Ovis aries: one gene and its partners. The protein of the gene in region 2 purifies or fractionates together with the protein of the main gene of each other region. This does not show direct contact. Links are inferred from orthologs where the notes say so. Each region holds a gene or a part of one and is shown on either strand. Other genes may lie near its edges.

Evidence for each region.
Region 1: the proteins of ZNHIT2 (region 2) and TSSC4 purify together in Homo sapiens (affinity purification with mass spectrometry; 3 studies listed by BioGRID and IntAct, counting the BioPlex papers as one, with this or other methods). This does not show direct contact. The link is inferred for Ovis aries from reciprocal best matches to the Homo sapiens genes ZNHIT2 and TSSC4.
Region 3: the proteins of ZNHIT2 (region 2) and ECD purify together in Homo sapiens (affinity purification with mass spectrometry; 3 studies listed by BioGRID and IntAct, counting the BioPlex papers as one, with this or other methods). This does not show direct contact. The link is inferred for Ovis aries from reciprocal best matches to the Homo sapiens genes ZNHIT2 and ECD.

The regions. Positions count from the first base shown.
Region 1 is NC_056074.1:45,569,233-45,573,644, forward strand, and holds the start of TSSC4 (U5 small nuclear ribonucleoprotein TSSC4), read right to left. Parts: upstream 2,913-4,412; 5' UTR 2,148-2,912; intron 609-2,147; 5' UTR 493-608; intron 348-492; 5' UTR 326-347; coding exon 1-325. UniProt on the Homo sapiens protein: Protein associated with the U5 snRNP, during its maturation and its post-splicing recycling and which is required for spliceosomal tri-snRNP complex assembly in the nucleus.
Region 2 is NC_056074.1:39,772,938-39,776,334, forward strand, and holds ZNHIT2 (zinc finger HIT domain-containing protein 2), read right to left. Parts: upstream 1,882-3,397; 5' UTR 1,863-1,881; coding exon 663-1,862; 3' UTR 629-662; downstream 1-628. Other genes in the region: delta(14)-sterol reductase TM7SF2, read left to right, coding at 67-227. UniProt on the Homo sapiens protein: May act as a bridging factor mediating the interaction between the R2TP/Prefoldin-like (R2TP/PFDL) complex and U5 small nuclear ribonucleoprotein (U5 snRNP).
Region 3 is NC_056078.1:28,427,003-28,430,646, forward strand, and holds part of ECD (protein ecdysoneless homolog), read right to left. Parts: intron 2,624-3,644; coding exon 2,517-2,623; intron 2,373-2,516; coding exon 2,189-2,372; intron 2,183-2,188; exon of another isoform or gene 1-2,182. UniProt on the Homo sapiens protein: Regulator of p53/TP53 stability and function. Inhibits MDM2-mediated degradation of p53/TP53 possibly by cooperating in part with TXNIP. May be involved transcriptional regulation. In vitro has intrinsic transactivation activity enhanced by EP300.

The DNA of each region.
Region 1 (4,412 bases), about 5.8 Mb from region 2:
GAGCCACAGCAGGCAGAGCCCGCCTGGCGGCCCCCTCCAGCCCATCAAAGATGCTGTGGCTGCGCTGGGAGAAGGTGGGGCTCGTGCCTCTCAGGTGGAAGGGCTGCACTGCCTCTGTGAGGAGGCCTCTGGGGGGCGAGGGGGGCTCATCGGGGCCCGAATCCCCGGACACCTCCCCAGGCAGCCCCCCCAGGGACAGGGCAGCCGCCCCAGCGCCATCAGGCAAACTAAGGTCAGAGTCCGAGTCGCTGAGGGAGCCAGTGTCCGGAGGCAGGGTGTCGGCCTCCGAGTCAGGGAAGTGTCGGCTGTCCCCTGCCTCTGCCATGTGTCCCCAGACCACGCCACACCTGCACCAAAACAGCCCCGGGAGTCCCCGGACACAAGCTCACACCCACCACCCCAGGCAGGATCAGCAGGAAGAGCAGTGTCCCAGGAGGAAGGGCCAGCCCCCATCCCCACCCCCGCCACACCGACCATAAGCCCTCCTCTTACCTCCCCGTCTGATGGGCGCCTGCTGGATGCTGGAGGGCAGGTGGGTTGAATGCTGACGAAGGTTCTTGGTGGCAAAGGCCCCCTGGTACGGCTCTGCTCAGCGGCTCGGTGACTGGCTAAGGGCAGGGAGGGACAGCCAGCCATCAGACCAGATGGCGGACAAATGGAAGTGGTGCCAACATCCCCGGAGTGGGCCTGGGTTTACAAAGCCCCCAAAACAGCCAGGCCCAGGAGCTGGTCCTTTTGACTTGTCACCTCCCTCAGTCCTCGCCAGGCAGGGTTGACTAGAGCCACTAGGGGACCCGCACGGGGTGGTCTGGTAGAGCAGCCGGCCGGGGTGTCAACCCAGGGTCACCAGCAATCCTCGCGCTCCCTCTGTCGGCCACGTGTGGTAGTGGCAGGCAGTACGCTCAGCTCAGTTGCATCCGACTCTTTGTGGCCTTTTGGATTGTAGCCTGCCAGGCTCCTCTGTCCGGAGAAGGCAAGGGCACCACACTCCAGTACTCTTGCCTGGAGAATCCCATGGACGGAGGAGCCTGGTGGGCTGCCGTCTATGGGGTCGCACAGAGTCGGACACGACTGAAGCGACTTAGCAGCAGCAGCAGCAGCAGCAGCAGGCTCCTCCGTCCATGGGATTTTCCAGGCACGAGTACTGGAGTGGGGTGCCCTTGCCTTCTCCGGTAAATAAGGAATGAATGAGTGACATGCAGAGCATGTAATTTTGTGCTAAAGCAGGCATCACCCTCCTCACACTGGCTAGCAGCTGCAGGGGTGAAACATTAAAACAAAATGGAAACTGAGGGTATTCCGGCCATTAACTGAGTAATTTTTCACTTCGGAGAAAGACTGTCACTGTTTCGTTTTGACACAGCGCCAGTGTTTCCACACACTAGCATATTCAATTACTTTCTAATGGATTACAAGGAGTCATGAAGGGTGATCACTCTTTTCAAAAAGTGAAATTACAGAATCGACACTGTATCAGTCACTAGTCTAATCGTGGTAACTGACACGTCCTGTGGTGGTTCCACGTGATAGCTTATTACGTTTTCAGGTCAGTGAGTGCTCAGAGGGACGGAAAACAGCTGACAGTCATGGCGGGAACTGCAGACTGGCTCACTGAACAGCTCGAACTGACTCAGTCAGACTTCACAAACATTTGCTGTGTGGATGAGGAGTACGTTTATTCACTGTGCTAACAACTGCAATAAAGAATTTTAGAGCTTGCTGCGGGATGCTGCCTGGGAGCAGGGCAGGCAGGAAGTACTCCACAAAGCCGGAGGCACCTGCCGGCTCTGTGGGGAGGAGGTGTGCTCCTGAGTGCAGAGATGCCCTGGCAGCTCCAGAAGGGACTGCAGCCAGGTCCTTGACATCTGAGGGTCAGGCTCTCAGGAAGCTGGCTCAGCCTTGCTTGGCAGAGGCCGGCCCCACAGCTCCTGAGGCAACCTCCAGCGACATCTGTGATCCTCCACACACCCTTCACTTTCCCAGTGGAGCACAGAAGTCCTGCCAACACCTGGTTAGCATTCCAGTGTCACCAAGCACCCTGAAACTTGTTTCCAGGCTCAGAGGACAGGCCTCAGCCTCCACCAACTTCCTCTTCCCACCAGGCCTCCCTTGCTTGCCAAGGGTGACTCTGTTGCTCCTGCACCCACCAAAGACCAGGCCAGTTGGACCAGGAGTGGCTCCGAGTGCCCTGCTCCAGGTCAAACGCAGGCGAGATCTCCATTCCTCTGGGCCTTGCATGACTCCCCAAATGCAGGAACAACTCCAGGAAAGGGGACACGAAGTAAACGCCAACGGTGTCTGTTTTAGGGCTGGCAGGACAGGAGTGGGGAGATAATTGGCCCGTCATTCCGTACACTGGAGGCAAAGCTGGAGCTTCGACCAGCCTCCGGCTTCCTAAATTTGCACTCCCGTCCCCTGGACGCCCGTGATCAGTGGGACACTCCGAGGGGAGCCAGGAATCGCGCCCCAAGATCGAGCATGCCAGGTCTGCGTCTCTTGAGTTCTCTGAGAACTTCCTGAGCTCACTGGAGGGCAGAGCCGAGTCCAGGCTGACGGAGGCGCGGTTTTCTCAGGGCCGGGGTCGGGGCTGGCCAGGTCCCAGGGAGCGCTGGCTTCCTTGAGGGTTGTCTCTCTCCCCTAGGAGGCAGAGCCTTGATTTTCTCCACTCCACGCGCCCAGAATCTCGGCGCGTGCCCAGCAGGCGCTCGTTGTCAGCTGCCTGAGTCCTGCGGCCAAGTCGGGCGGGGGCGGGCCAAGGGTGCGGGCCTCACGAGGGTCTCCCTGGTTGGGGCAGCAGACTACGGACAGTGGCCCGCTGAAGCCGGACGGGTCAGCAGCGCGGCCCTCCCACCAAAAACCTACCGGCTCACTTCGGCCTGGCTGCCTCCATCTTGAGCCGCGCTCAGCCTCGTGGGAAACCGAGTCCCCCGCTGGCCGATGGCCGCTTCTCCCGCGCCTGAAGAACTACATCTCCCACAAGGCCCCTGGCTCCCACGCCTGAGGCCTATCGGGAGTGATGACTTTGCGCATGCGCTGCCTTCCCTACAGGAAACCGTGGCGCTCCTTCGCGAAGAGACCGGAATTGACTCAGGAAGGGAGTCTGGGTGAGGAGGCAGGGCTGCGACTCCCAGAATGCTCCAGGGCTAACGGCCAGAGCCTCGTTCCTGGTACTGTAGCCCACTTTGCCGGAAGCTGCGAGAACCGGAAGTGCGTCAACGCATCCCGCGCGGTTCCCAGGCACTTCCGGTGCTGTTCCGGAGCAGCCGTCCCTGCTCTTTCGGGTCCCTGGAACCGGGCCGCGGGGCGTGTCCCGCGGTGTACATTTGTCCCGCCCACTGGACGACTCGGGCAGGCCGCCGCGTGGCAAGCCTCCTGAGGGAGGCGCCCCGGCCTCGCCTGCCGATCGTGACTGGTCATTTCTGCTCCGAAAGTGAAAGTCTCCCAGTCGTGTCCGACTTTGCGACCCTGTGGACTATTCAGTTCAGTCGCTCAGTCGTGTCCGACTCTTTGCGACCCCATGAATCGCAGCACGCCAGGCCTCCCTGTCCATCACCATCTCCCGGAGTGCACTCAGACTCACGTCCATCGAGTCACTGATGCCATCCAGCCATCTCATCCTCGGTCGTCCCCTTCTCCTCCTGCCCCCAATCTCTCCCAGCATCAGAGTCTTTTCCAATGAGTCAACTCTTCGCATGAGGTGGCCAGAGTACTGGAGTTGCAGCTTTAGCATCATTCCTTCCAAAGAAATCCCAGGGCTGATCTCCTTGCAGTCCAAGGGACTCCCAAGAGTCTTCTCCAACACCACAGTTCAAAAGCATCAATTCTTCAGCACTCAGCCTTCCTCACAGTCCAACTCTCACATCCATACATGACCACAGGAAAAACCATAGCCTTGACTAGACGGACCTTAGTCGGCAAGGTAATGTCTCTGCTTTTGAATATGCTATCTAGGTTGGTCATAACTTTTCTTCCAAGGAGTAAGCGTCTTTTAATTTCATGGCTGCAGTCACCATCTGCAGTGATTTTGGAGCCCCAAAAAATAAAGTCTGACACTGTGGACTATACAGTCCATGGAATTCTCCAGACCAGAATACTGGGATGGGTAGCCCTTCCCATCTCCAGGGTATCTTCCCAACCCAGGGATTGAACCCAGGTCTCCTGCATTGCAGGCGGAGTCTTCACCAGCTGAGCCACCGCGGAAGCACTTGCTGAACCTCAGCTCAGAGCCTTGACTCCCCTGGTGGATGGCCAGAGCGAGCCCCCTCGGCCAGGGCCGCACCCAGGAATCCAGGGTTCAGGCCATGCTGCGGCCCAGCCCAGGGACCCAGAGAGGAAACAGGGCCCATTTTAATGTGTCCCAACCTTCGGGCTTAAGACCTCCCTGGTGGCTCAGATGGTAAAGCATCTGCCTA
Region 2 (3,397 bases):
TAGCGGCGGAAAGGTTTGTGAACCGGTAGGCTGGCTGAGTGGTCAGAAAAACCCCTTTCCCCACAGGGGTGTTCCACCTGTTGCCCTACTTCTACTTCCTCTACTTCACTGCGCTGCTGGTGCACCGTGAGGACCGGGATGAGCGGCAGTGTCTGCAGAAGTACGGCCTAGCCTGGCACGAATACTGCCAGCGTGTGCCCTACCGAATCGTGCCCTACGTCTACTGAAGCAGCTCCAGACACCCCAGGTTGGGGCACGTGCCTGCCCAGCTGCCAGCACACTGGGCACCAGGAGCCTGGACGCACCCGGGACACAAGGGCCTGTACCCTACCCTGCCCAGAGCTCCAAAACACTGGGATGAACGGCCTGATAAGTGGCTGGAGCAAGGGGGAAATGAAGCCAGTGCTCCAAAATGGAGTGGGTGTGTAGGGGGGGTGTGCTGCTCTTCCTCCTTAGATAAACAGCTGGAATCCTTGGTGCTGCTTCTCTCCCTTTCTGGGCCAGGCTGTTTAAAGACTGGCTGGGTCAGCCCCAGTCAAGGAGAAGCTGACAGGCAGTTTGTGGGCCCAAGAGTCTGGGGGACGGTGGCACAAGAACCACCACTCAGAAATGGGCACTGGCGACGGGGCAGAGCGGTCACAGCTTTATTAATGACAAAGGGTTCAGCCGGGGAGCTCCTCAATAAGAGTCCTCCGGGCAGGTGGCAGGGGGCCTCCCCAAAGCTGCTCCAGCTCCCCCGTGAGGGCTGCCACCTCCTCAGCTGCCACAGTGTGAGCTCGGTGGGCCGTGGCACAGTCTAGAGCCAGGGGTGTGAGGGCGTCCTCATTTTCGTTGGTCCAAGACAGAAGGAACTGGCATTTCTTTCGGGCCCGGTAGAGGCGATCTCCTTCTTCGGGGGCCACCGCTTGTTTCCGGGCCCGGCCCAGGGTTTGCGCCAGGTCCCCCAGCGCTGCCAGCGTGTAGCTTTTCTGGTTGGCCGGGCCCTCACCCAGCAGAATGCGGGCAGCCTCGCGCATGGCTCCCCGTGTGCCCAGAGGTCCGGGGGGATGCTCGCCTGCTTCCAGCACATGGGCTGCGGCCTGCAGGGCTTCCTCGGCAGAGGCGAAGACCTGCTGGGAGCCCAGGGCTCCGGAAACGCCGAGCAGTGTGGCACAGAAGTCCGAGAGCAGCGCCTCGTCGCCGCCGTGATACAAGGCCAGAGTGTGCGCGTAGGCAAATAGCACGTTGGGCAGCTGGAAGCGCACAAGCGGCGACGTCCGGCCCCTGCTCAGGCTGGCCAGCGCGGGGATCCGGGTGGGCACGGCGGGAGGGCAGGCCCCGGGGAGGTCTCCAAGAACCGGCTCGACAGCCGCGGGCTCATCCCTCACGGGTTCCGGCGGCATCCTCGCGGAGGAGGGCTCCAGTTCCTCGGCATCGCCGCTTGGGGCATCACCTAGCTCCTCCAGAAGCCGCGGCCCGGCCCCGCGACCCCACCACCATGGCCGCCACGGAGGCAACAGCCGCCCGGCCTCGCCTCGGCTCAGCAGCCGCTCGAAGGCCACCTTCTCGGCCGGGGCCAGCCGCTCCCAGAGTCCTGAGAGGCCGCCGGGCGCCGGGCCAGGCCTGAGGCCTGCGTCCCCGGGCTCATCCTCGGTCTCACGTTGCTGACGCAGCCGGCGCAGGGCGGTGGCCAGGCGGCTGGGCGAGGCGCTGCGACCGCGCAGTTCTCCCAGCACCTGGTCACGGTAGAACTCTTCGGCGCAGCTGCCATGCGCCCGGTAGCAGCGCAGCGAGCAGTAGGGCACGTTACAGCGAGGGCAAGTGTAGCGAGCCGGCTGGGCCTCCCCAGTGGGGCAGAAGCCACACGGCCCGGCCGGCTCCATGACAACTGGCGCAGCGCACAGCCAAAGAACTCACACGCGCCGCAGATCGGAAGTTTCCGGCGCTTCTCGGCTACTTCCGCCTCTTTGCGGGGCCGACGGAGAGCTTCGTCAAAGCCCTTCTCGGCAGTTTCCGGCCGCATTCGGAGCTCAAGCTACGCCCCCCACTTGACCCGAGATACGGCACAGGGGCCGTTCGTGAGGTAGCCCCGCCCTGAGCGGTGGGAGCGTAGGAAAAGGGCGTCTGCCGGGAGCTCGGTCGGTACCAGCCCGCCCCCTAGTGGTTGCTTTTAGCATCATAAAGCGCTTTGGCAAAACCCAATCTTTTATTTTTTTTTCCAAAACCCAATCTTGACTAAACTTGAAGGACAGGGAAGCCTGGTGTGCTGCTGTCCATGGAGTTGCAGAGCCGGACACGACTGACCGACTGAACTGACCTACTCTAGGCACTAACTGTGCCAAGTCGATGGGAGATTAGGCGTCCCTGCGCTGGAGGGGCGGCCATTCTACCAGGGAAGAATGGAAGGAGAGTGAAAGGAAGACCAGGGAGGGGTACTTAGCCTAGACAGGGTGTGTTGGGAGCATTTCCCCTCTTGAGGAAGCAACATTAAAATTTTTGAGCTCCTCCGACTTCCAAAGAAAATACACCGAAGAGCAAATGAGATGGGGTACCTGTCCTAATGGAACTAAGTTTGCGGTAGATTGGGGGTGATGACTCACCAACTGTGCCAAAAGCTATGAAGCCTCGATTTATGGCACTCCTGAAAGCTCTGGTTCCAAAGAAACCAAAGTGCCTCACCTTACTCATACTCAGTCCCACAACTAGTCAGTTCTACCTTTAAAATACCTTGTCTTTATCTCAATATGGATCATCTATTTTCCTACCAAGATCTGGATGGATTTGAAGAGTCTGCTCATTTTTGCATCCCCCCTTCCCAGGTGTCGCTGGAATTTTTCAGGCAAGAGTACTGGAGTGGGTTGCCATTTCTTTCTCCAGGGGATCTTCCCGACCCAGGGATTGAACATGGGTCTCCCGCATTGCGGGCAGATGCTTTACCGTCTGAGCCACCAGGGAAGTGGGTTCCCAGGTGTCACTAGTGGTAAAGAATCCACCTGCCAATGCAGGAGATGCAAGAGATGGGTTCAGTCCCTGGGTCAGGAAGATCCCCTGGAGGAGGAAATGGCAACCCACTCCAGTACTCTTGCCTGGAAAACTTATGGACAGAGGAGTCTGGCAGGCTACAGTCCATGGGGTTGCAAACAGTCAGACATGACTGAGCAACAGTGCACACACACCCACACTACCCCTGGCGGTCTAAGCTACTTGTTCTTCAATTAGATGACACCAGCCTAACTGGTTTCCTTTTGCCAGCCCTCCAGAAAAGTCAGCTAGAGAAAGTAGATCACAAGTCACAATCCAGCAGGCCCTTACTTTAAAACCCTGACCTGTACTTGGACTGAAACCACACTTCTCTCCACATCTGACAAGACCCTGCAGGATCTGCTACACACCGCCACAGAGTTTTCCTGGCTGAAAA
Region 3 (3,644 bases), on a different chromosome or scaffold from region 2:
TGTGCGACCCCATAGATGGCAGCCCACCAGGCTCCCCTGTCTCTGGGGTTCTCCAGGCAAGAACACTGGAGTGGGTTGCCATTTCCTTCTCCAATGCATGAAAGTGAAAAGTGAAAGTGAAGTCCCTCAGTTGTGTCCGACTCTTCGAGACCACATGGACTGTAGCCTACCAGGCTCCTCCGCCCATGGGATTTTCCAGGCAAGAGTACTGGAGTGGGGTGCCATTGCCTTGTTCTCAGTTATTATTTCTTCCTCTGATAAACACTTTCACCTCCTCTTTTTTATAGCATTTATTATATAAAGTTATTTAAAACAGTACATTTTCTGTATTACACATGAAAATTCACATACAGATGTCTTTTCTATCAAATCTTTATTCTTTCTCCATTGTCAAAAATCTTAATTTTTCATTCCTGCTAGATTTTTCTTCCTTGGTAATTCTTTTTGTTACCCCACTAAAACATTTCTCATGGAAGGAATTATGACCTTGGTACAGCAGAAAGTGATCGCTCAGCAAATGTGAATACTGGCCTCGGTTCTCAAATTCCTTCACCTTTTCCATTGTTATCAAGCACCTTGATATGTGACTGGAAAGCTTCTGCTCACAGTTGCTGATGAGTTTCAAGCAGAGGTGCCAGGGTACCATCTGCTCGGTGTATTCTGGTAACCAATAGACAAGTCTTCCACCTAATACGAGGGTCTCTGCTGAGAACTTTAACAGGTCAAAAAACATGTCACACAGATAACTCAAGGAAACAGGAACGTGGCTTTCTGGACATTTTCTATTCCCTCTGGTATTTCCTTCTGTGAACTTGTCCTTCTTGTAGATTCTCTAATACCATATGAAGGATCAGTGATGACTGCATCAAAATAAGTGCCCTTCAACCAGGAGGGTTTTGATGCATCTGAAACCACGATATCAAGGTAATACTTCTCTAAACCATACTGATGAAGATTTGCCCTAAACCAAACTGATGAAGATGTTTTCATCCGGTCCTCTCCATTTCCAGTTTTTCCTACTAGCCTTTCCTAAGCCATGAACAGTATTGTAGTCTATGTCTGTTCCATATACGTATGCACCAAAATGAGCAGAAGCTATCAAAAGGCCACCTGTTCCAACAAATGGATCAAATACAGTATCATCTTTTTTCATTTTTCCATGGTTGGCCATGATGAATGATAAACCAGCATCCATGCTTGTATTTCAAATAAAGTGTCTCTTTTTGACACTGTATGACTCAATAAGCTCTCTGTGTTCATCTGCAACCCATCTACCAAAATAAATATTATGTGGATTCTCAGGGATGTGGTTTGGGTCCAAACCATAATCTTCCAAAATAGAGAATGTATGTTGTGGCTTTTTAAAATTCACTTTCCCTTCAAATGACAGAAATTCAAATGCATCTATTCATCTGACTTTTTCTTCTTGTGTCAAGGTTTTATTAAATGTGTGAATCTTTATTTTATACATAGACTCTGAATGCAGAAATGGAACCACCTTCTCAACAGGGTAGCTTTTAAGAGAACTGTACAGCTCCTCCGGACACTTTCCATGACCCCATAGTTCAAATATAGACTTGGCACACACAGAAAAATCAAGCTTCTGGCAATACCTTCAGATGGAATGCTAAGAATCCAAAAAGGAGACTTTTCATAAGTTTCCTGACTACTGGTGAACTAACCTCCAAAAAGTGAAAGGAAAGACTTTATCTCCAAAAGGAAGAACTCCAGGTGTTCCTGTGCCATGAGCAGAAGACAACGTGTTCAAGGTACCCAGCGGCACTTATCCTCCTCTTTCAAGTTTGAAGCTTCCAATCTACTTGAGGGTACAAGATCAGATGTCTGATCTTGATAAGAGCTAGATGTTAAAAGTCCATAATATTCTGAGTAAAAGCCTAAATAGTAAAGTATATGGTTGCCCTGCACAGCTCTGGGGCAGTGGCCTTTAGATCTGAGTGATCTCTCTGGCTCACTTCAAGGATCATAATCAGGTTATCAGAAATTTGACTCCAGATAAGTAAGTTATCATAGCACTAGGTACCAAAAGAGGAAAACAAAGCATTGAAAATCATTTACTAAAAATAAAAAATAAAAAAAACCAAAACAAAACCATAGAACTGGCAATGATTGGATGATGCCAACATAGATCCTTTAACTATTTAGATAATTATACTTTAACAGAAATTACCGAGGCAGCTCTGCTCCTTTGTGGGTTGAAACTTTGGATATGAAAGCTTTCATGCTCTCTGAGACTTGGGTTAAGTCATAGTTCTCCTCCCGCCCCTTGGAAGTGGGCTCTGGCTCTTTTTTGCCAGCAGCTTCCTGCAGCAGCTGGTCCAGCTGATCTGGTGAGAGATCTAACCACCGTTCATCTGAAAAAGAAGTGTGACACTGCCATACTATACTCACATGAAACAGGTATGAAACAGGTATACTCTCAGTAAAGTACCCTCTGAGACTTAGTGGGATGTTTTAATTCTTTCTAACTCCGTGCTCTATCCTGGCCCATCACTTACCATCTTCTGGGGGAAGATAAGCTTCTTCTTTCTTAAGCTCTTCTATATCAAGTTGTACTGTCTGCAATAACGTTAAGATTTCTTCACCTGGGCTCATAGCATGAGAGCTATAAAAAATCAAAGATATGGGTATTTAATGAGAACTTAGAATAATAACCACAAAAACAGAGTATTTTAAAGTTGGAAAGGATTATCTAGTCTAATTTGTTTTTAAACATTTGTTCAGGATACTGAATCCTTCCTCTCAAAATTTCACCAGGAACTCAAAATATAAAAAAGAGCTCAAAGAAAAACTGCTTTGAGGAGTTCCTGGTGGTCCAGTGGTTAGGGCTTGGTGCTTTCACTGCCATGACCCCTGGTTCAATTCCTGATTAGAGAAAGAGGATCCTGCAAGCCTCACAGCACAGCCAAACCAACAAAAAGTTCAAAAAGTAAAGAAGAGAGAAACTGCTTTGCAAAAAAAGAAACCATCAACAAATGAAAAGACAACCTAAAGAACGGGAGAAAATATTCACTAACCATATATATGAAAAAAACCCCAAGTTCTGATTCAAAAATGGGCAGAGAGAATGAATAGACATTTTTCCAAAGAAGATACAGAAATGCCAAGAAAAGGTACTCAACAGCAACTAATCATCAAGGAAATGCAAATAAAAATCACAGTGAGATATCACCTCACACCTGTCGGAATGTCTATCATTAAAAAGAAAAGCATTGGCAAGAATGCGGAGAAAAGGGAACCCTCATGCACTGTTGGTGGGAATGCAAGTTGGTACAACCACTATGGAATACAGTATGGAGGTTTCTCAAAAATTAAAAATAGAGCTACCATATGACTTAGCAATCCCACTTCTGGGTATTTATCCAAAGGAAATGAAAACAAAATCTCAAAGAGATGTCTGCATCCCCATGTTCACTGTAGTGTTATTCACAGTAGCTAAGACTGGAAACAATCTAAGTGTCTACAAATAGATAACTGGATAAAGGTGTGGTGTAGATGGATGAACGGACAGACAGATAAATTCACAGAGACAGAGATCTACATGGGGTCCCAGGTGGCACTAGTGGTAAAGAGCTTGTCTGCCAATGCAGCAGATGTAAGAGATGCAGGTTCAATACCTGGGTCAG